Linked DNA regions of Lonchura striata. The protein of the gene in region 1 interacts with the protein of each later gene in a pairwise test. Links are inferred from orthologs where the notes say so. Each region holds a gene or a part of one and is shown in the gene's direction. Other genes may lie near its edges.

Region 1 (8,357 bases):
CTTATTGCAATTTATAGTCCATGTTATTATCTACAAAACATTTAGCAATTCTTCAGCTCTTGTGGAAGCAGTCTGTAGAGAGCTAGACAACTAAACTGGGATGAGACACAGCCAATTTTGGACACTTCATGGAAGGTATAGTCCTACTGGAGAAAAAAAAGAGGAATACAACAATGATTATCAGGCTTCAGAAAGGTATACTTGTTAGAAAAGGCTGAAGGAATTAGGATAGGTTTAATCTGACATTCCTCTGGCATTCCTCTGAATAGCTGAACTTCAGAGAAAAGAAATCTAAGAGGTAAAACAATAGCAGCTTTCAAATATATAAAAGGTAATTTCAATAGGAGGAACAAGTGGTTTTCTGTGTCTGCTGTGCAAAGGACAGTGATACTCTGCTCTTCTAACTGTTTGCTCATATCTTTTGAAGTGCTGTCTGGAAACGGACGTGTTACCAAAATAACAGTAAATAGAGTTTTGCACTGCTACAATTTCCCTAGTGCATTAAAAGTACATTTAAAAAATACAATTTGGGAAAAACATGGCAGAACTGGAGAAAAAAGAGAAAGTCTTCTTATGATTGTGTATTTGTCTCCTCCTCTGAAGCAGCTGGTGTCTGAAATTGTTTTCAAGGCACTTTCTCCTCACCTCTGTGCTGAATGAACCTACATAAAAACCTTGCACAAGCTTGATTTGAAATGAAATAACTCCCATTTTGGAATGAACTGTGTGATGAAGATGTAGTTATAAAATAAATCATGATTCAGCTCTAACTTTCAATTTTGTCCTTATTAAGTTGCTCAACCAGGTGTTGAAGCCAATAGAATTTGCTTTTCCTCTGCTGGAAAGCTATTTTGAGTGCAGTGTGACTGAAGAATAGCCACTTATTCACTGCCCGGCAGTGCTCTCGGCTTTGCTGCTAGAATCCCCCACAATTGCTCCAACAACGCTTTTGCCAATACTCGTCTGGCTCAATCAGCAGCTCTAACACTGGGGTACAAAATTCTGCAGTGCTTGTGAGGGTGGTAAGCTGCCTGCTGTTTAACAGCTCTGCTTCATGGTGTGGTGTCAGGAGGGAGGCAGTGCTGATTTTGATCTTCAGTCTGTATTTGTTTCTCTATTCAATTTATTCTCTTCTAGTCTCGGTGCAGGATAGATCCTGCACTATCCTGACTGAAATTCCTGGCTAATGCTGCCGTGTGCTGCTCCAGTGTTTCATGTTTCCTCCATGATGGGGGGTGCAATTCTTCTGCATGCCAACTGGACTTTGAGGATTAATTAAAGTTTGCAATGCACTGTGAGTACCTTGTACACCATTGAAGTGGAAATTATTGTTTGTTACAGCCAGTCCGAACACCATCTGGGATTTCCATGTTCCTGTTTCAGCTCAGTTGTATGTTACCAAGCTTGATCTGGCACCATGAACAAAAGGTTAGCATTGCAATCTCTAGTTCTGTGTTTGGTGCTGTTTCCAGCCCCCATGTAAGTCTGCATACATCCCAACAAACTGTGCTCAGCACCCCAGGACTCCAAGAGACTTTCTATAGCTGCAAACCTGAGACATCCCGTTCCTTTTTCTGCACTTGCACTCTGGTATGGGTTGGATCTACAAAGCAGTGGATCCCTTTGTCCTTCTCCACTGTCACCCCTGCCTACCTTTAACTTCAAGTCAGCTTGGCAAGACTGTGTATGGAACGATGGTGGAATTGGGCTCTGCACTTCACAAAAGATGTTCTTCCCATGCAACAGAACTGTCCCTTTTTTGTGGCATCTGAAGTACTATAGGGACATGGCAAAAAAGGGCTAATACTGCCCAAGATCCAAGCCAGCAGTGGAAGTGATGCAGACCACCCACAGTATGATTAAGTTTTGTAGGTATGTTCATAGTACCTATGAAACTTAACCCAAAACCTGCTTTACCACTGTGAGATCCTCTATGGGTCCAGGCGAATATCTCTGAAACAGACAAATCTCAGCTCTGATTTATTACTCTGCTTTTATGCACCAGCTTTTGCACAGCTAAGAGGATATTTTAAAACCTTCTTGTGACTTCACTGTTTTTGTAAATCACGGTAAGCCAATGGTGTTAAATGACTGTGGAAACTCCCCCAGTATCAAGCTAGCTACTCAAAATGGCATAAAATGTAATCATTCAACACACTCATGAGCTTTCCCTGGGGAAGAGATGAAGTAACAAGGAGTTTGAAGTTTACTTCCTAACTGAAGGTTTCCAGTGGGTATCCTACCCAAAACACTGGGAGGCCTGACCTTCTGAAGAATGCACTATTTTCACAGAGGTGTAGTTCTCTCACCACACTAACTGCTGCCATTTACATGGTTAAAGTGCCATCTGACAGGTTTCAGAGACCGACCCCAATGCCAAGTGCTAAATAAACATGTAATGAAAGTTGGACATTATCCACCTGAACTTTGCGCTCCCTCGCTTTCCTGGTAGCATCAGGCTCTCCCCAGCCTTTGAAGTGTCTCTTCTGAGTTTCTGAACAAGCACAGAATTAATTTGGCAGGAATTCTGCAAGGGCAACATTATATGCATCCCTCTTCTCCTCTGGCACCTTGAGACAGTGGTTTCTGATTTTATGAAGAAAGCTTAGGCATTATCTATGCTTTCACATTCTGGAGCCGACCTAGGGAGAAATGTCTATTTCATAATTTTCAAGCAATCCCGTGTATTTTTTTGCCTCCACACATCTACAACCAGATGTCTGGTTTTAATCAGTTTTTACCTAATGTCTTCAGAGATACTAAGCTATTAAAAATTCATAAAAAGAGGCAAATGGGCCTATCACAAATCTGAAGGGTAGATAAAGAACTGGGAACAACAGAGAAGAGACTCGAAATGAGAATGAAAGAATGATACAGGAGAAACTGATGTCTAAATGTTTATTACAAGATAAACGCAATTTATTGTCATTACAGCTTCTTGATTACCTTTCAACCTTTTCTTAACGATGCCCATATGTTGCAAATAAGAGGGTTTTATGGCTTTTGTTCTCTCACCTTTCCCACGGCTCCCATTCCCGCTTCGGTTGCTGGGCTGACAGCGGACGCGCTGCCGCCCGTGCGCCGCCGGCTCGCGGCGGCCCCGGGGCAGCCGCCCCGCTCGGGGGCCGCCTGTCGTTCCCGAGACGTGCGCCAGGTGGCGGTGCCGCCACCGCCGCGCCGCTTCCCGGCCACCGGCAGGCACCCACTCAGGACCGGGGGAAGCTTCTTTAACAAATCACTCAAAGTATGAATGTTGCGTAAAGGCAAGTTATTCGAGGTTTCTTGAGAACAATAATAAAACGGGAAAATAAAAAAATTAAGTTGGAAAGTGGCAGCACCGTCAGGAAGGGACAATGCTCGCTTTAGTCATTGCACATCTCTGTATGGGGAAAACAAATCTCAAGAGTTTCTGAATTAAAATTACAATATTTTTTCTGTTTATACAAATTTCATAGAGGCAATAATGTCTTCCATCTTATTTCTTTGAAATTATTGTGACTAGACGAGGTCTTGGAGTGAAATCCATGGTGAGTAAAACTGTAACTGCTCATGACTCACCCAAAACTAATTTTGTAGCTTGTGTGGTTATAGGTGTCAGAATACCAATGAAGCTTGTTAACACTCTTTTCCTTCCATCGTGCACTCATGATGTCAAGACTGCGACGTCGTAATAATGTCAAGACTTTGTATCCACAGAGGAAGACTTGGGGGTGATGGTTGATGACAAACTGAACATGAGCCAGCAGTGTGTGCAAAGCCAGCTGTGTCCTGGGCCACATCAAAAGGAATGTGACCATGAGGGAGAGGAATTGATTCTCACCCTTTACTCCACTCTTGTGGGACCCACCTGGAGTACTGCACACCCCTCTGGTGCCCCCAGCATAAGAAGGATATGGAACTGTTGGAGCAAGTCAAGAGAAGAGTCATGAAAGTATAAAGGAACTGAAGCACCTGCTCTACAAAGACGGGGTGAGAAAGTGAAGGCTGTTCAGCCTGGGGAAGAAAATGTGAGGAGACCTAACAGCAACATTCTGGTATCTGAAGGGGGCCAACAGGGAAGCTGGACAGGGACTCCTTGTAAGGAGCTGTAGTGACAGGACAAGGAGTAGTGGGTACAAATAGGAAGAGTGGAAATTTGCCCTAGAAGAAATTCTTTACTGCAGGGAGGGCTGCCCAGAGAAGCTGTGGGTGCCCCATCGCTGGCAGTGTTCAAGGCCGGGCTGGATGGGCTCTGCCTGGGATAGTGGGATGTGTCCCTGCTGGCACAGCAGGGCTGGAACCGGGTGATTTCTAAGGCTCATTTCAACCCTGCAACGTCCTGATTCTGTGCAGTAAAAAAGATGAGGCTGTTCCCACTGCAAGAAAATGTTAGTGGAGAGTGGAGGCAAAAAAAAAAAAAAAAAGGGTGCTATATTTGGAGCATTCCTAATTGCACTGTTCTATTTCCAGCTGCCGAAATCCGCGCTAGAATTTTAATTAATAGCTAAAATTGCGCAGCAGATCCTGACAACAGGAAACAGCCCTAACAACGGGAAACAGTTATGTTATTTAAACAGGCTTTGAAATAATCAGATTTTATCTCCCGAAGCAGCACTTGGATGAATATTAAAGCTGCTTTTGTTCTCCCGGAAAGGGCTGTGCTTGATCAGCAAGCTCTGGGAAGCCCACCGGGGCCAGGCCAGCAGTGAATGAGTCGTTCCCTTCCGCACAGGGCTGGCAGAGGGGCCGAGGAGCGCCCCGCGGCCCCTCACGGCCCGCACTGCCCGCGGGGCGCTCCGGCCGCGCGGGAGCGGCGCCGCCGGCACAAGATGGCGGCCTGAGGCGCCGCGCCCGCCCCGCCTCCGCCGCAGCGCCGCGGCGCCCCCTACCGGCCGCGCCGCCCCCGCAGCGCCGCGCTCCGCTGCGGCGGCCGCAGAGCGCAACAGCGCACGCGCGGGACGGCTGCCCGCCCCTCCCGGTGCGCGCAGAGGCGCATGCGCAAGGCGGCGCCGCTGCGCTGCCCCGGAGGCGGGGCTCGCGCGTCAGGTGACGCGGGGCTCGCGCTGAGTGACGGGCGGCGGAGCGGGCCCGGGGCAGGGAGCGGCACCGGCGGCCTGGCGGGGCGGGAGGAGGAGGAAGAGGAAGGGTCTCGGCCGCGGCCCCGGCCAGGCGCCATGGCGACCACCGTCACCACCCAGCGGGGCCCGGTGAGTGCTGCGGGCGCGGGGCCCGCTCGGGGGTATCTCCTGTTACCGCTCGCCGCGCGGGGCGGGCGAGGCCCGGCTTGCAGACCCCGATGGGCCCGCCCGGCCTCTGCCGGCGCCGCTGTGGGAGGGAGGGAGGGAGGCTCCGTGTCTCTCAGCCTGCCCCAGCTCCGGCCGCGCCAGAGCGGGAAGAAAAGCCCTCTCATCTCCTCCAGGCTGCTGGGATGCGGGGGAGGGAAGTCTGCCTTGTCTCCCGGCTCCCCGCCTGCCAAGAGGCTTTGGGGAAGGGGAGGGGAAAGTCCCTCCTAACTGCGCGGAGTCCTTGCGGCGGCTCTCCTGCACGTTCTTTGTCCACAGGCCTTTTCAAGGGGGGAAACGGTTACACGGAAAGCCTTTCCAATGAGGGAAATGCTTACAATGAAAGCTAAAGGCCTTTCTCTTGGAAGCGGAGCTCGGCGGGCACGCTCGGGCCGCTGTCCCTGGAGCTGCCGCCGGCAAGCTCCAACGGCGCGTCCCGTGCAGGATGTAGGCGTGCGGGTTGGACGGGAGCTGAGCCGTCTAAAACCGATTTACCAGCCTTCTGGGAGCTGGTGCTGGCAGTTTATTGAGAATATGTCACTGTCTGGTTTTGCCCAGGGATAATCATACCTCACACCGGGATGTTCTGCATATGAGGTGTTACAACATCAGCTTTCAACAGATGTGCTGTTCCTGTCTGTTCCTCCTGTCTGAAAGGATCTGGTAGTCATTGACAGTATGATATTGCTTATGGTGAAATGAGGGGTTTTTAAAAAGCAGTAAATGTACACTGCTGTATTTTATTATGTAGAAACAGCTACTTAAAAAAAATTATGCAGCCTTGTGGAAAGAACAGTGAGGTGAATTACTGCTATTTGAAAAACTGCACTGCTGTCACTTTTCTTATGACAGTGCCTTATTTGTTTTATTTATCATAACTGCTTAGACTTTCTTGAATGTTGCAAGACATCTCCTAGATGTCTTGTTCTAGAATTTCCCAGGTAGTCCTGTATAATCTATTGGCAATCTTTTGTTTCCTAGACTTGACTGAAGCCTGACAAAAGGCATATGATAATTTATCTTATACAGCTTTGACTTTCTGGGCTTCAAGTTTAGTGTTTTTTTTTAATGTCTTGCTGACATTGTTGAACATCCTTTTCTTCCTTACCCACTTCAGATATTTGAATGTTTTCAAATGAGTGAATAAATTATGCAATATTAAGCAGGCATTCACAGCTGGGAGTGTTGATATGGTCCATCCCAGCCTTTCTTAATTCTTTCCAGAGAGGAAAATAAAATTTACTGGTTTCTGTGTGCAACTGCATTACAAATGATTAGCCACTAAATGGTGCTAAAGGATTGGGAACCACTTTTTTCTTTGCTGAGGGAGAGAACAGTTCAGTCTTTCTGTTTGAACAAGCAAGAAAATATTCAAGGTTGTTTCACGTGGGTGAGAAACTACTGTGAGTGGGCTGTTGCCAGTCTTACACCTGCACTTTCTAATTGTGATGCTGCTTACTTGGTGTGTAATGAAAATTTTTTAAATTAAAATTTGCTGTTCAGTTTTTCCGATGAAACAGAATTCATCCTGTCTGTTACTTTAAATACTCTGCTAGAATACAGATATCTCTGACCCTTTTCAGGATGTTAGGGAATTAGTGCATTTTCACATTTGTAATCTTGTATGAACAAATCAGCTTTTTAAATCTCAACTATAGCTGAATATGCAAGGATTTCTAAGTGATACCTTTTACAAGTAAGATTATTAATAAACAGTTTGACCAGGCTTTAGATTAAGACTGAGCCACCAAAACTTTATATTTGTGATTCCTTATCTAGCCAGTCATAACCAAAATTACTCTTAATGGTTATTCTCCACGGTTATCATGGTTACCATGCTGGCAAATGCATCATGTCCTTCCAGATTAGATTAATACCAACCTGGGACTGCATAGACTTCTGCTCCTAATGTCCCTAATAAACTCTACTCTGATGAGTAGTGACAGCGTTTTTTTCTTGAGACTCTTCAAAACTTTTTACAGACCCTTGTCAAAAGTCCCTTTCCAACTTTCTTGTAGGCTCCTTCAGGGACTGAGAGGTGCTCTGTGGTCTCCCAGGTGGAGCCTTCACTTCTCCAGGCATAGACACAGATGTCATATGGACACTCATTCTGTCTTTTATTTTTAACTCATGCTGGTATACCATAGTTCCTGCCATTCTTTGCAGGTATTTATTGCCCCCTCCTTTTTCCCATGTGAAATTTGCCCCATTTCAGTTTAATGATTGACATCTCCTTTCTCTTTGTGTTGCATCTCGGAAGACAACCTTTCTCAATGACTTCTTGGCAGACACCAGAAAGGTGCTACAAAGGTGCATTCTAACTTTCTTGTATTCCAAACAAATCCTCAGCCTGGCATTGCAAGTGCTCCAGCCCTTTTCATAGGTCTTCTTGGTGGATCTTTGCTGGTCTCCCTGGAGTTCATTGTTTTTCATGTACTGCTGGGCCCCAAATTGTCAGTGTTCCAGGTGTGGTCCAGCAATTGTTTCCTTTCCTCAGCCCATTGGCTGGGTTCTTGTTGATCCAGTGCTGTTTTCTGTTAGGATTCATTGCTGCAAGTGTCCTCTGCTCATCCATGCTTTGCTTGCTCTCCACCTCTGTAGAGGTACAGGCAGTCCTGCTGGTTGTTCTCCAGTTTGTACCAGTGCCATGGATTTTTCTGGTCAAAGTACAGGTCTTTGCCCTTGTTGAATTTCACACAATTCCTGCCAGTGAATTCTTCTGTGTCTCTAGTTGGTCCTGTCCTAAAGTATACCAGCCATTTCTTGTAAAATTTAGTGTCAGCCTCAAAACGGATAAGGATGCCTTTTGTCTTCACCTTTTGTTGCTGGGGAAAAACATTAGACGCATAAGTTAGATTCTGTACAGATCTCTGAACTGCTTCACTTTTAACGAGCCTCCAGTGTCATTAACCACTGAATTTCAGCTTCTGAGCTTAATGCTTCAGTCAGCTTTTCCTCCATCCAGTAGTCTACTCATTCAGATTGTAATAATCCTGCTTTGATACCTTTTGTGCTTTCCTGAGTCATATATTCTTGTTTTGGAGAAGGCAGATGGCTCATCAGCTTTTTATTCTTTTAAAGCCTTGGTAAAGGCTG
Region 2 (7,752 bases), on another chromosome or scaffold:
ATCTTTCAGAATGGTCAGGTTATTCTTCCCTATGGAGAAAATCTGCAGCTCTTGCAATGTGTCCATGTGCTCAATTTTAGATATTCTGTTACTGTAGAGACTGAGGTCCTGCAGTTTGACAAGAGTATCCAGGCCCTCAATTACTTCAATATTGTTGAAGGACAGGTCTGGGGAAGAATTTACAAAACAAACATTAAATTATTTCTTGCAGAACACCCTGATTCTGCCCTTTAGTTCTGGATGTAGGAGTTTATGTACAGATTTTTCTCAGGGGTGGTCCAGGTCCCACAGGAAATGCTCAGCATTAAATCATCCTTTATTCCCATCTTCTCCTTGCAATTATCTGTGAAACTTTTAAATGAGAGGAAAAGCTGAAGTTAGTCCATGCAGAGTCCACACAGCCTGAAAAGGACTTCTGCCTTATGGGGAAACACAAAACAAAGGGTGAGGAAATGCCCTTAGAGGGAATTTTTGTGATAAATCTGACACTGTCTTGTTTCTTGCAGACTCTGCCCTGCCACACCAATGCCACAGTTGTGGTCACTCCCACAGGGCCAAGATAAGGCACTTCCATGTCAGTGGAGTTATGCAAAGGCTCACTTTCACTGTTTCACTTATTGAAATGTCCTCTTCCCCTGCCAGAACATCTAACACCTACACTCACCATGACTAAGGGCAGGATTTGCCTTTGAACTAGTACCGAGCAAGCCAAGAGTCCAAAAACAGTCTGTGAGGTCTCTTGGGTGGCTGAGACAATTGTACAGCAGCAGCTGAGCCACTGCAGCCTTTGGGCAAACAAAATAGGTGAGTGTGCTTCAAAACACGGTGCTTACACTGATCAGCTGGTGTTTCACAAGTGCCTCAGTCATCTGTGGAGCAGCACAGTGCAGACAACAACTGGGTGGAAGAACCCATTAGACATTTCACAATGTTGAGGATATATTTAGAATTCCAGCCAGCAGCGTGGCTGCAGTTCCAGGGAATGCTCTAAGCTGTGCATCTGTGTAGCTGCAAGCAGTCACATAAGGCTACAAGGATGGGCACTCCTTGGGACAAGGATGACACCAAGCCCTTAAGGACATAGGGGTTGTAGGTTTTGGAATGCCTGCAGCAGCTTTGAAAACAGAATGCAGGCTTCTAAATCACAGAGGTGTTTCCATAAATATTCCTGAAAGTCACCCCTAAACACAATACAAACCTTGGAAACAACCTTGAAACCTCAGTTTCCTGTTCCTGCCACATGAAATGTATTCAACCCAGTTTTTAAACATTTGAAGGATTGTTTTGCAGCTCTGATACTCAGGCATTTTGACATTTGACAGTCAAATAAGGAGACACACAGACAGCTGACAGCCTTCCCAAGGTAAGCTCCTATCAGTCGTGTTTGAGAAGGAAGGTGACATCCTGGTTTATCACAGATTGCTTTGCACCTGCAAAGGCATCCACCCTCCTCTGTCTGTATCTCACCAAGCCATACAAGGTGAACCAGACTCTCCAGGCCTTCTATCTTTTCAATGACGTTGTTGTCCAGCTGCAGTTTAGTCAGATTCTCTAATGGCCACAGATTATCAATCCGCAGGATGTCTAAAGCCACAGGGAAAAAAAAAAAGGAAAGAAAAAGAAAAGAAAATTGCTTTTCACGTGAGCCAGCTTTGTTTTAGCAGACACACTGCCTTGCACAAGGAAAACATGTCCAGTCTTGCCTCCAAAAGGATTTTCAGCGTGTGATGAGTGCCCTGGAGAGCTCAGAGGTGCAGAGATTTCAATGAAACAGCCCACTTAACCTCAGTGTCCTGCACCAGAGCACGCTGCTCATCAGCGAGGCCAACGAGGCGTGCAGGGGATGCTGACTATGGCCCTGCACTCCAGTGCCTTTATGAATCCACTACTAGGAGGCCTTGACCTTCATTTTCCTCTCCAGCTCCAAGCAGGAGGTTTGGGATGAGACTCTGCTTTTCTCTGCATTTGCAGTCTAGCAGTGCCCAGCTCCTGCTTTTGTAAATGACTCTTCTGCTCCTGGGATTCTCAGCACAGGAGAGGAAGCTGGAATCTACTTTTTTTCTGTGAAGGCTGCAGTTTAGAACTAATCAATATCCCTGCATTTAGTTTCCTCCAAAAACAGAATCACAAGGGCAGGCTGTTAGTCACCACAGCAAAGTATCAGGACCAAGGTGACAGGAAATACAGAACATTCTCACTCCCATTTCTCTTTTGCCCTGCAATGGCTTCCCAGAAGATTTCATCTGCTGTCCTGTTATCCTTATTTAGTGAGGGCACCATAAACTGAGGAATTGCACACCCAAAATATTCACACAGCTCTGGATTTTTTATTTGCAAACAAATCTATGCAGGATCAGATCAAGGGAGTATTTTCTAAGAAAATTGACCCATACATACATTATTTTACTGAAATTACCCCCCTCCCTCAAATACTCAAATATTGAGCCAAATGTTCTTCCTCTACCTTTTTTTTTTTTTTTTTGTGTGCAAGTTTACAACTTGACAGGTTTGACAGTAAGAGGCACACCATGGTAATGCTACGGATGACCAGAGAATGACATCAGATTGGACTGTAAATCACCAAAATCTCCCAAACAGCTCCCACACAATCACCAGCCGTGGCAGAGCCTGCCCAGGGTTGGGTTTGGCCACGAACTGAGGGGCCCAACAGGCCTGTGGCCTGTAGGTGTCACCACAATATAAATGTTAAATGAGAACAGCAGTGACGAGAAGAGGGAAGTGAAGCAGTTTTGAAGTCACTCATCAGCAAAAGTTCCCTCTGATGAAGCTCCTGTGTACAGCTGTGAGCTAAAGTCCAAGTCCAGATGTTAATTTTCACATAATAAATCCAAGTTAATAATGGTTGCTTAATTGCCAGTTACCCACTTATTCTATTACCTTCTAGCAAAAGAAGAGGCAAAATATGTACATATTCTGATACTTACTTTTAAAACTAAATTGTAGCTCTGTTACAACCTTAACATTAAGACTTTCTTCTCTGGCAATATCTCCAAGGTCCTCTGGACATTTCTCTTCAATGGCTTTCTGAAGCATTTCATCATCAATAATTTGTGGCTCAATAATATTGAAAAACTGACTCATTGTGAGACAAAATCAGCCTTAAAGGACAGAATAGAAAATAAAGTAAATCACTGCCTAGCTACTCTTTCCAGCAGTTACAGAATCCCAGAATAGTTTGGGTGGGAAGGAACCTTAAAGATCATCTCATTCCATCCTCTGCCATGTGCAGGGACATCTTCCACTATCCCAAGTTGCTCCAAACCCCATCCAGCCTGGCCTTGGACAATTCCAGGGAAGGGGAATCCACAACTTCTCTTGTCAGCCTGTTCCAATGCTTCTTTCAGTGAAGAAATTTTTCATGGAAATTTAAATATCCCTAATGTTTTATATATATTATACATTATATATATCATATATCATAATATATATTATATATTATTTTATATTTATTTATGTATATATATATGTATATTTATATAATGTAATTTAAATATCCCTAATGAGACTATTTGTCTTTTTCAAATGGTGCAGAGTTAATGAATTGCTGTGAAGGACTTGAATCTTCAAACTTTTGCTTGTGTAAGATGTTTATAATTACAGGGTAAGTTCTGATTTATTTTTGCATGGGCCAGCGATGATAAATGTCAGAGTTTGGAGAGGTCTGTCCTCATTATGGCATTTCATTAACAAACCAAACCTCCCTGTGGCTGTGTGCAGTACAGGCCGAGGAGCAGCCGGCCTTGGATTTATCCATCCTTCACCTTCCTCTCTCTCTTTCTGGTACAATCACAGAAAGGACTGGGTTGGGAGGGACCTTAAAGCTGCCATGGACACCTTCCACTAGCCCAGGCTGCTCCAAGCCCCAGCCTGGCCTTGGGCTCTCCCAGGGATGTGCGCTTGTCGCCGGTTCCGAGCACCCCTGCCCGCCGCCTCTCGCTCCAGGACCCACCGAGGATCAGATTCCGGCCTATCAGGGCTCTCACCCGCAGGTCCCCTGGGGTCTGGGTGGGTTCCCGGTTCCCCGTTCCCGGTTCCCGGTTCCCGGTTCGCCGTTCCCGGTTCCCAACAGAGCCTCAGCGCCCGTCGCTAAGGAAGCCCGGCTGGGTTGCTAAGGGCGGCACGTGACCGGCTCAGCCGCCAATGGGCGTGGAGTGGGTGAGGAGGCCAACGACTAATCAGAGTTAGAGAAATCCGTGTCAGCCAATCAGCGCTGGGACCGTGCCCTAGGGGCGGAGAGGGCTCTGATGATTGACGTTCCGTTCTGCCCAATAATGTTACAGATCGTTTAGGGCTTTGCCCAATAAGGAATGGCAGTCTCATTGTCCTCGCTGTCCATCAAAGTGAGGGCGGGGAAAGAGGCGGGACTACCGCGGGGGCAGGACTCTGACTTGACAGTGATGGACACGCTTTTTAACCAATGGCTTTGCCGCGCGTCCTGGAGCTGTCCAATTGAACGCAGGGAGACGGGACGCGGCCGGCAGAGCGCGCTGTGGTTGGTGCGCGCGGCTGTCAGTCAGGGCGCGGTGCGGGAGGGGCGGGCGCTGGGCCGCTGTTTGTTGTCATCCCAAGATGGAGTTTCTGCTGGGGAACCCCTTCAGCACCCCGGTGGGGCAGAGCCTCGGTACGGCGGCCTGGGGAGCGCGGAGGGGCCCGGGGGAGCCCGTGGAGACAGCGGGGGCTTCGGCCAGCGGGCGGGGCTGGGGGCAGCGGGGCGTTCCGGGGGTCTGTGACGGGCTGTGGGGGCTCGGGGGGGTCTGTGGGGGGCTCTGGGGGTCTGTGAGGGGCTGGGGGGGTTGTGAGGGGCTGGGGGGGGGGTCTGTGAGGGGCTGGAGGGGGCTCTGTGGCTCTGTGGGGGGCTCTGTGGGGGTCTGTGAGGAGCTGTGGGGGCTCTGTGGCTCTGTGGGGGGCTCTGGGGGCCTGTGAGGGGCTGGGGGGGCTCTGGAGGTCTGTGAGGAGCTGTGGGAGCGGTGGGTGGAGAGTCCCTGAGAGCCCATGGGGGAAATCTGGGCTCGGTAAGGGGCTCTGGGGCTTAGTGGAGGTGTTTGGGTGTTATGGGGGGTCGGTGAGGGTTGATGGGGGTCTGGGGGTGGCCAGGCTGCTCTGGGGGCTCTCGGGGGTCTCTGGGGAGCAGGGATCTCAGGGCTGGTGGGGGCTTGGAAGGGCTGGAAGGTTTTTGCGTTTGGGGAGTGCTGGAGGCCTCAGTGCCGGACTCTGGGGTTAGTGGAGGGTATGGAGAGATCAGAGGAGGCCTGGGGAGCAGGCTGCTGTCCATGGGAAGAGACTGACTCCATGTCGAGATGGATGCAGGAAAGCTGTTGCATCCCCCAGCTCCTTTTCCTGAAGTTGAGTGCCTTCTTCCAGACCACCCCATCATTGATGCACTCTTTCCCAAAGTACTGAAACCTCCCTGTCCCTCTTAGTGGGCGAGGGGGTGATGTGGTTTAGAGACACAAATAAGTGCTCGTTTTTCAACCTGGAGGCTGAATTGTGGCTTTGGTAATGCATTGGTGCCATTAGCAGGTTATTCTGAGCCAGCTTTCACTGCGTGGCCACTCAAGGCCTCCCTGGGCTGCTGTGGCTGATCCCTCCCTCCCACAGACGTGTTCTTTCATGGCTACTCATGTTTTGCTCTGGGTTGCCATGGGGCAAAGAAGAGAAAGGAGAAAGCCTGGGCATCACTCATGCAGAGTTTGGTAACTCTGAGTTTTCACCTCAGCTGGGTGGGCTCTCAGTGCCTCCTGCTTTTCTCTGCTGGGCCCTGAAGAAATTGAAGCTGTCTGACATTGCAGGAGCAGGCTGGCTCAGGTTCCTGCAGTGCAGGAGGGCAGGCAGTCCCAAAGCCAAGGTGATGCTCAGTTGAGCACGCCTGCTGCGAGGGAAGGCTGGGAGAATTGGGATTGTTCAGCCTGGAGAAGAGAAGCCTTGGGGTGACCTAATTGTGGCCTTCCCATATCTGGAGGGAACCTGCAGGAAAGATGAAGAGAGAGGATCTGGAGTGACAGGGCAAGGGAGAATGGCTTCAAACTGGCAAGAGAGTAGGGGTAGATGGAATATTGGGAAGGAATCAAGAAATCCTTCCCTGTGAGGATGGGAAGGCCCTGGCACAGGTTTTCCAGAAAAGCTGTGTCTGCTCAGTGCCTGGGAGTGTTTCAGGCCAGGTTAGACAGGGCTTGGAGCACCCTGGGATAGTGGAAGGTGTCCCTGCTCGTGGCAGGGGTGGAATCAGATGATCTTTAATGTCCCTTCCCACCCAAACCATTCTGTGGTTCTATAACCCACAGCTGTGCATAGCCTAGCCTCTAGCTATTCTAAGTTGATTTATGGAATGATGGAAATCTTTGAAAATCATAGTGGAGAAAACTTTGCAGAGTATCAGCTCATGGCCTCAAAGCTCTTTTCTAGTCCTTTCCTCATCCCCATGTGCAGGGACACCCCCTGGTCGAGGTGTAAGGGCCTTGCATGGGTGAGTCTCACACTGTGCTTTGAGCATGGCTGGGCCCTCTTTGTCAGGCTATATGGAGCATATGTATAACTTGCTGTTTATCCTCAGCCATCTGGGCTGCTTATTTCTTCTGCTGAGGGAGAGAAGTGCGGGGAATCAGAGGAGAATAATGAGAACAACTCAAGAGAAAGGTGATTTTAGAGTGAATTTGTTTTGTTGTGTTTGGCCATCACAACAATACCCAAAAATACGTGTTGTAATACCTTCATAAACTACAGTCTGCTTTTGTCCCTATAAAATTTTAGAGTGAATTGGCTTTGTTGTGTTTGTTGTGTTGTGTCCTGGCAGCCCTGCCAGGCCTCTGCCATCAGCCTGGGGAGGGCAGGCAGCAATTTCTCCTCTCTTCATTGGCAGCTTCTTTTAGCATCAGTCAGTGGTTTGAATTGTTGGGGGGCAGGGAGGGAGGAGTAAAATCTGCTTTTTTAGCCTTCTGCCTGTTTAACTTCAGAGTGCAAAGGTTTTCACAGCTCTCACATCCCTTCGCTCGCTGAGCAAGCGGCCGCTGCCAACTTTGAGACTTTGAACACTGAACTGCTTCCATCAGATAAGGTTAGGTGTGCAGCTTCCCTTAATGCAAAATTCAGCTGCACTTTCACAATGTTTTTCTTTACTCCCAGGGGGAAGAGATAACTGCAGATTTTATTTTGGAAGACAAATTTTTCTGCTTCTCCTATCGCTGCCAGTTATCCCTTTCTGAGACAGCAGTAAAACAAAAGCATGCCTTGTTCTCAGACACTGCTATTTGCCCAGTGCTTCCACAGTTTGTTTTTCCAATGAGCTTGTGGAATATAATTTTCACTTATGCTTCTCTTCATTCTCTGAAAGAAATGGAATAATTTTGTATTTCTGTTTAAACATATTGTGTTGTACACAGTTGTGATGTTTTCAAGCAAGGCCTAACACTCACCATAAGGGAGAAGTGCAGAAAATCCTGTAGGTCCATCAGCACACCAAGAATGTGTGTTCTCTGCCAGGAAGTAGCAGAAGTTCACGAGAAGATTTAATTAGGGCTCTACAATATCTGCAGATAAATACCAGGTCTGTAAGAACAAAGATGTCAGAAAAGGTTTGAGGAGAGCTGAGAGAGGTAATACAAGGGATTTTCTCTTTTCTCCTCTTTATCTGGATAATGTCTGAAGTTAGGCAGGCTTTTTATGTTAACTCTTTTGCTTAATGTGGGAAAGTAATGCTAGGATGAGCTCAGAGGATTTGTAATAGAGATGGATAGA
Region 3 (8,210 bases), on another chromosome or scaffold:
GTTCAAATTCCTGAAGGACCTCCCACAAAATAAACTTCAGGCAGCCTCTAATGCAAAGAGATGTTTGGCTAATTCATGCATTTTTTATTGTTAGCTGAAATAAGAACCACTTGTTTGCCACTTTCCTTTGACTTCTCATATGTTAGTTTGCAAAAATCTGAGTTATCAAGTTCATACCTAATTTTTAATTTTGAGCTTGTTTTTTATGCAACATTATATATATAGATATATATACATATATATATGGCAGTTGCACCCTATTAATGAGAAAACTATCTACAATTGCTGTAATTTAAGATTAAGGGAGTCTTTCTTTCTTTGTGAGTTTTCCTGTGATAGTCAAGCTGAGGATTCTACCTATATATATCTATATAAGATATATTTAATATTTACCCTACTACAGAAAATGTTAGTCAAGACTCACCATATTCTGCAGTATAATAATAATTTCATAATTTCTTTATAAATCTAGACTCCATTAGAGTAAAATACACCTCTGGAAAGAAGCTCAGGGAAGTGGATGATGCATCTTTGTCTCTGAGAAGGTGAAATTCAGAAAAGGCTTAGGTAAATTTCCTGAATATACAACAGAATATTTATCTCTAGCTTTGATCCAGGGAAAAAGGAAAGTTGTTTCCTGAAAGGGAGGAGAGGAAAGTTTTTGGATTAACACCACATGGTGAGGGTAAAATCCCAGAGGGATGTAACATATCTTGGGGAAAAAAAAAAAAAAAAAAAAAAAAAATCAAAAAAGCCACAACCCCAAACAAACACAACCCCACAACAATAAACAAACAAAAACCAGAAAAATAAACCCCTGAATAGATGTAAAATTCTTATTTTCTGCAAGATTCTAGCCTCAGCCTGATGTAAAACAAGGTAGACATGATTTTAGTTTCAAATTAGCTGAGACTCCTGTAGTGTATTATTACAGAAAAAAAAATTAATTGGAAATTCTCAGTGTTTTAGGAGTGGGAGAAATACAGATTTGTCTAACTTCACCTGAGAGTCCCAGGGCAGTGGGAGCTGCTTAGGGCAGTGAGCCAGGAAATGCAGCAGGGTCATGTGTGAGAAAACCTCTCTCATCCACAACAATCCCTGACCCTCTCCTACCTTTTGATTGCTTGGCATTGCACTTACTGAGGTTTTTTTTTTCAATTATTTCAAATTGCAAGAGAGCAATGCTAACAAGCTGTATCTAGAGCTCAGTAAAAGAGAAAAGCCAATATGGCTGAGAGGGAATTTTCCTCAGCCACTCTTCACTTCAAGTAGCTGCTGCATGAAAAATGAGATTCCTTGACCAAGCTTGCCCTCTGCAGGCCTCTTCCTCTCTCTGGCACTGCCAGATTTGTTCCTTTTCTACACATTAAATTTAATGTGATGCTGACATAACAGCATTTCGACATTCCTTCCTTTTTCTGTTTGTTTGTTTTGGGGTTTTTTTTGTTAGTTTTTTTTTTTTTTAATAAAATAGTAACTACTTAAATAGATATTTGGGGGCAGCTCTGCATTCTTAGTGCAACTGGGTCCCAAACATTAATTGAATTTGCCCAAATAGCTCCTGATTAGGTTTGCTGTTATCTGAAGCAACGAGCTAATGGAGATGATGCAGAAGGGATTTGATATAACCCTGGAGCTGTTTGTTCAAGTAAAGCTCCCAGCACAGGCTGTAAGCAGCATCTGGTCTAATGAGCCACAGTGAGAATCCCACCGACTGCATCTCTTTTACTGGATAACAAGGAAGAGTCATACTAAAATAGGCTCCTGGTGAAGGCATTGAGAGTAAATACAGCCCCTGGGAGATGGAGGAGAGAATATTTTGCAGCTCCTCACTTAATGTCTGATAAATAATGACCTTTTAAGAATATCTTATTTTTAAACTAAACTAAAAAATCATTGCAATGGCTTTTAATTTTCATATTTATAAATAAAAGCAGGTAGAAGTCAATACCATAAATCAGTTTATGAATGACAGCGGTTTAAGTATTTCACTCAATGTCCTCTGTACATGTATGTGATTCTTTGAAAATAGGACTGAAAGATAAATAAGGTAAAGATGTGACTTTAAAAATAATTAATGCGATATAACTAAAATGTGAAGCCAGCAAAACTAAATTAAAAAAGAATCTCTGCATAGCTATAGCAATTTGGGTTGGTTTTTTTTTATTTGAAATTGACATAACATCATCAAAATCTCTGGTACAAATGAAACCACATTATCAATCCTGCTTCTTTGGTATAATACATGTTAGCTGAGCTGAGAAAGACAGAAGCTATGCCACTTAACACTTTTGCTTCAAACATTTTGCAAAGAGAAGTTCTTTAACCTCTTCCTTTTTATAACACTCTATGTGCTTGCAAGAGGCAGAAAATATCCATTCATTAATAGTAGTAATTAAATGTAATACTATCTCTTCAATAACAGTAAAATTGTAAGAAGTGCACTGGGGCTCTCCTGGGACTCTTTGATCCTCATGAATTCTGAGGATTCCAGTCCTGAGAAGGCTGAAGAGCCAGAGAGGTTTTGCTTCAAGCGGAACCTGAAGCCCACTAGGAGTTCACAGATCTATACCAAAAGCTGATTTCAATTAGTAACTTTAATCAGTAAATTCCAATGAAAAAATACTTTACTGGAATTTTTTCCCCTGATTAGCTCAATAAAATATGCTCTTTGAAACAAGATCTGACTTGTGCTGCAGGTTTAACAAGGGCTAATTTAAATAGTCCCTCATTACAGTTCCAGTGTTAAAGAGCAAATTAATGAAACACCTATGTTTAGAGGATAGCTTTCAAAATTCTGCAAATAAAAATAAATAGACTCCTGTTTTGAAAGCTGGTGTCTGGCTTTTAGCCAAATAACAGGATAACAGAAGTGTGGAAAATCGAGATGTGTTCATTAGAACAGTCTCAAATGGAGCCTCACTGGGCTGCATGATGGATTCCACCTATTTACTACAGACTGAGTAAGAAAAAGATTCCTACATTCATGGTACATGAGCAATTTGCCTAAGAGTTCTTAAATAACTTGTTTTTCATACAGATACTTGCAAGTACACCAAAAAATGTGGTTTTCTCCTGCATTCGCATTAAAACCATCCAGTAGATGGGGCCACAGAGTTGCACAAACCACAAAAGAAAGTAAAATTAATTCATCCTAAGAAAAACTCTCCTAGTGCAAATAGAGCTTGTTAATCCATTAAATTCTAATGTCAGGCAAATAATTTATTTGCTTACATCGTGTCTTGACTGTATGACTCATTAAGCTCTACTCAAAGGCTAGTTAATATGATTCAGTTTGATACTGAAATAATTACAGCTGTCAGCCAACAAAAATTACAGCTGAGATCTTAATTTTCATTCATCGTTTGTTCCCAAGTATTGTACAGGTGTGAGATAGGCTTGTGATGAAGCGACACAATGGAAGTCATTGACAGTAATTGTAGCAAGAACGTCCCACACGTGGAAAGGTGTGTGTTACAGGAGGTTCCTGCAGGACACAAAGAGGGTGACTTTATCAATGGAACTTGGAGGCGCCGTTGGGAATCTTTCCCGTTTCTCTGAGATCTTTGCTCGTATTCTTTTCACATGTGCGGATCAGGGAAGAACGTGGGGGTTTGGAAGCGCCTGTCGGGAGGCTGAGGGGCAGCCCCGGGGCTGAGCAGCGGTGGTGCAGAGGCCGAACCCGGGTCTGCACATGGGGCGGTGCAGAGGTTGAACCCGGGTCTGCACATGGGGCGGTGCAGAGGTTGAACCGGGGTCTGCACATGGGGCGATGCAGATGTTGAACCCGGGTCTGCACATGGGGCGGTGTAGAGGTTGAACCGGGGTCTGCACATGGGGCGATGCAGATGTTGAACCCGGGTCTGCACATGGGGCGGTGCAGAGGTTGAACCGGGGTCTGCACATGGGGCGATGAAGAGGTTGAACCCGGGTCTGCACATGTGGCGGTGCAGAGGTTGAACCCGGGTCTGCACATGGGGCGGTGCAGATGTTGAACCCGGGTCTGCACATGGGGCGGTGCAGAGGCCGAACCCGGGTCTGCACATGGGGCGATGCAGATGTTGAACCCGGGTCTGCACATGGGGCGATGCAGAGGTTGAACCGGGGTCTGCACATGGGGCGGTGCAGAGGTTGAACCCGGGTCTGCACATGGGGCGGTGCAGAGGTTGAACCCGGGTCTGCACATGGGGCGGTGCAGAGGTTGAACCCGGGTCTGCACATGGGGCGGTGCAGAGGTTGAACCCGGGTCTGCACATGGGGCGGTGCAGAGGTTGAACCCGGGTCTGCACATGGGGCGGTGCAGAGGCCGAACCCGGGTCTGCACATGGGGCGGTGCAGAGGTTGAACCGGGGTCTGCACATGAGGAGGGTGAAGGGGCCGAACCCGGGTCTGCACATGGGGCGGTGCAGAGGTTGAACCCGGGTCTGCACGTGGGGCGGTGCAGAGGTTGAACCCGGGTCTGCACGTGGGGCGATGCAGAGGTTGAACCCGGGTCTGCACATGGGGCGCAGCGAGGTGCGGGCACCAGAAGCGGCTCTGAGCGCGTTCCTGAGCTTCGCCTCACCGAAAACCAAATTCCTCGTGGAGTCAGCCGTGCAATCCCACCTGGGAGCCGGCTGAGCCACCGCTGCCGATGAGCGGGGGGCTCGCAGGTTAAATCCTGCGCACGGGGCAGGAGAATGAGCCCGTGGCTGCGTGCCCCGGGGAGGACAGGCGCTGCTTTAGGTCCAGCCGGGGTGAGGGGCGCGGCGTTGGCCCCGGGTCGCCCGAGGGCAGGGCGACATCGAGAGCCGGCGTAGGGCGCTGATGTGAAGGACGGCTTGGGTTCCGAGGGAAGGCTGTGCCTGAGGGCTGCCGGGGGCAGCGCTGCCAGGGATGCCGGGCTGGCTCCCGTCCCGGGGGAGGCCCGGGCGGGAGCCGGCCCCGCTGCGGGGCGGTGCCCGGGCCGGAGGGGCCGCGGCGGCACCTGGAGCGGCTCCGCCCGGGCCGGGGAGGGAGCGGCCGGGTCGGGGCGGCCGCAGAGCCCGCGGGACGCTGCCGGCAGCGGGCATGGCGTTCGGGAAGGCTCCGAGGGACGCGTTCGGCACGGCCGTGGGCAGCCTGGTCGGTGAGTAGCCCGGAGCGGGGCCCCGCGCCGCCCCTCTGCCCCCGCCGGGCGCTGACCCTCGGCTCCCCTTGGCCTTGCAGAGCGGGCGACGCTCGGCTCGCTGCAGACGGAGGAGTGGGGACAGTTCCTGCACATCTGCGACCTGATCAACGCCACGGAGGAGGGGTGAGCGAGCGGCTCGGGGGCAGCGCGGCAGCGAGCGGCCGGCGTGGGAGCCGGTGTGGAGCGTCCCGAAACGAATAGCGCAGAGGGACAGCTTCGGTTCCGGGCAAAAGCTGTGCCTGCCGCGGGGCCACCAGGGCTTTTCGGGATTAGGCTCGGAGGTTCTTCCCCGTAGACACACGCTAGAGAAACTGGTGACAGAGATTTCTTCGCTAGAGAAACTGGTGACAAAGATTTCTTATCTGGGTCTGACGTGTTCTGTACAACCCGTACTGCTCGTCAGGCTGAAGGGCTGTCCCTGTGCTCTGCAAACCCACCTGGAAAAAGGCTCTGAGCACTTGGCTGCCCACAACACTATTTAAAACTCTGTAGGCTCTTCGCCTTGGAGCTCCCTCCCCACCGTGCGGGGTCTCCGGCGGGCTGTGCCGCAGCCGGGGTGGAGGCTGAAGGTGGGCTGGGATCCTGCGGTGGGGTCCATCCCTTCCAGGTGTGCTCCCAGGACTGAGCTGGTCTCTAGCACCGGACGGCCACGTCCAGGCTTGCTCAGCCACTTGCTGCTCTGAACTTCCTTGTTTCCACCTGTTAAAGGGGAAAAAAGGAAACTTGTTCTCATGCAAGATCTGCTTCAGAATTGCATTGCAGGAACTCATTCTAGCAGTGGCATATTTTAATACTAGCTAAAGAGTTTTCTCCAGAGCAATGAGGTATTGTTTACTTTCTGCACAGGTGTCTTTTTTAATGTATCAACTTTTCTTTCCTTGTTTTGGACTCCTCTCACCCGTAGTTCTTAGTGCTTGAAAGGTCAGTAATAATGACTTCCTTCTGGTTATTACCATAAGCAACAACACGCTCTGGCCTTCAGTGTTAGTTTTTATGTAAAGTTTCCATGCAACCGAGCCATTTTTTAATAAACTGTTTCCTTTTGTGCACAGCTTAGGCTTGCAGGGGAGTTCCTTGTAACTTCCTCCTAGGCAGCTACTACTAGTCACAGTCTGTAACAGGATAGTAGGAGCAGCAGAACTGCTGCATCTAATTAGGGAAATGGTTATTTTAATGCAATATCCAGCCCCTGTCCAGAGCATTTCCAGATGCTTCAGTGAGGGAAGCAAGCAGGAGTGGGATTATAGTACAGCTCTCTGCAAGGGAAACTTCTCCACTCCTGTGCCTCCATCTATCACTTGATGCTCTACTGATGTGCCTGGGTATGATGCATGATTAAGAAAAATAGAGACATGTCTCTTGGTTTGTTTTTTCTCTTTTTCTCATGAAGTATAGCACTTCAGACAAAGAGATGCAGTAATGGTAAACACCCACTTAATTTCACTGACTTTGAAATTATTTCAACAAAGATTACTTTTTATTTTTTTAGTGAAACATTGTATTTGGGCCTCTTGCTCCATCTTAGATTCTAGAGAGATCCTAAAGAGACGTTAGGACATCTTGTTTATGTTGATCATGAGTGTTGGGCTGGCCCTAATAATTGTACACTATAGGTAGTCCATATTGATGAGGCAAAACTGCTTCCCACATGTGATAACCTCGATACCATCTTCCACCCTTTTCCTCCTACACAGATAGTTAAAAGATACGGGGAGTATATATAGAAATGAAAATGGATGGGTTAGAAATGCCCCTATCTCTGGGCTGGAGTGGGTTGTCCATCCGTGGTAGTTACTCAGATGAGTTAAGTGCATCCTGCAATTATAAGATTGGAAGCTACCCATGACACCCCTACTCCTGACAACACTCCCAGGAGAATATTTTCTAATTGCATCATACAGGCAAACTGCCAGTCAACTCTTGCTACATCTGGCAATTGATATTTCCTTTCATGGCAATAAAAGCTAGATAAGTAATTCTGTTCTAAAACAGTGGAAAATGTAATTTTGGAGCAGCTTTTGCAGAGGAGAATAACTTCATTTCTCTGCACAAGTCTCTGGAGTAATGCACAGTCTGCTGTAACAAACCTGATTCACTGCTTTGTTGCTCTAGTTCAGTGCTGAAGAGATTTTGCTGAAATCAGTTGGGCAATTGCTCTGGTTTTATGTGGGTGTAAACATGGGGTGGATTTAGTCTTGTATCTCAGGCTGATATTTTTGGTTCTTGGATGAAGTTATGAACTAGAAAATTTCACTGGTAACTTTTCCTCTTTCATTTCTTGTCACAGACCTAAAGATGCAGTTAAAGCACTGAAGAAGAAGCTTTCAAAAAACTGTAACCACAAGGAGATCAGGCTTACCTTGTCTGTAAGTACAGCTATATTTATATTAATTAGACACTAAGAAGGCAAACAGTCTAAACGATAAGGTGGCATGCAAATTATCCCTGACACAACTCTCCAGGATGTTTTCAGTCTTTGTTGTTTGTGTGCACAGCACTGCCACAGTGCAGATCAAATGGTTTGCTGGCATTCCATGGACTCCTGGATGATGCAAATTCTGGTGGTGAGGGGGGCTAGGGGGATGGGTGGGGAGGTGACTTGTTCTATGTAAAAGTAGGATAGTTCTTATTTGCTCCAGCGACTGTCCTGTGAGAGCCCCACCTGTTTGTGAAAGACACGGAGGTTAGGATATTACATAAAAGCTACATTTGACCATTCTATTACTCACCTTGTGGTGCTGATCTTAGTCAAACTAAGCACGGTGTGCAGCATTGGTGGAATGTCTGATACGTGCTTGGTAAAAGGAAATGTTATCACAAATAAATGATAAACTTGAAGGAAAAGGTGGGTTACATAAGGGAGCAAGAGGCAGAGTGAGCTGTGTGAATTTCAGATGTTATGGCTAAAGGTTGGAGTGTCTGGGAATATCCTTACTTGACATGTGGTCTCTAGAATCTGACAGTGTTCCTGAACTGCCCCAGGGTTTGGGGAGCTGTTGTGATTTCAGCCAATTTAAGATTTACTTGTTAATGCAGGAAGTTCTAATACTGTCCTAAGTCC

Evidence for each region. The genes of interacting proteins can lie anywhere in the genome.
Region 2: the proteins of TOLLIP (region 1) and TOM1L2 interact in binary tests that used the Homo sapiens proteins (3 or more experiments, as listed by UniProt). The link is inferred for Lonchura striata from reciprocal best matches to the Homo sapiens genes TOLLIP and TOM1L2.
Region 3: the proteins of TOLLIP (region 1) and TOM1L1 interact in binary tests that used the Homo sapiens proteins (3 or more experiments, as listed by UniProt). The link is inferred for Lonchura striata from reciprocal best matches to the Homo sapiens genes TOLLIP and TOM1L1.

What each region holds. Positions count from the first base shown.
Region 1 is NC_134608.1:45,932,676-45,941,032, reverse strand, and holds the start of TOLLIP (toll-interacting protein), read left to right. Parts: upstream 1-4,985; 5' UTR 4,986-5,153; coding exon 5,154-5,186; intron 5,187-8,357. UniProt on the Homo sapiens protein: Component of the signaling pathway of IL-1 and Toll-like receptors. Inhibits cell activation by microbial products. Recruits IRAK1 to the IL-1 receptor complex. Inhibits IRAK1 phosphorylation and kinase activity.
Region 2 is NC_134618.1:15,628,309-15,636,060, reverse strand, and holds the start of TOM1L2 (TOM1-like protein 2), read left to right. Parts: upstream 1-4,535; 5' UTR 4,536-4,590; coding exon 4,591-4,642; intron 4,643-7,752. Other genes in the region: DRC3 (dynein regulatory complex subunit 3), read right to left, coding at 1-167, 1,468-1,584, 2,946-3,102. UniProt on the Homo sapiens protein: Acts as a MYO6/Myosin VI adapter protein that targets myosin VI to endocytic structures. May also play a role in recruiting clathrin to endosomes. May regulate growth factor-induced mitogenic signaling.
Region 3 is NC_134621.1:7,132,387-7,140,596, forward strand, and holds the start of TOM1L1 (TOM1-like protein 1), read left to right. Parts: upstream 1-4,993; 5' UTR 4,994-5,049; coding exon 5,050-5,107; intron 5,108-5,187; coding exon 5,188-5,272; intron 5,273-7,436; coding exon 7,437-7,515; intron 7,516-8,210. UniProt on the Homo sapiens protein: Probable adapter protein involved in signaling pathways. Interacts with the SH2 and SH3 domains of various signaling proteins when it is phosphorylated. May promote FYN activation, possibly by disrupting intramolecular SH3-dependent interactions.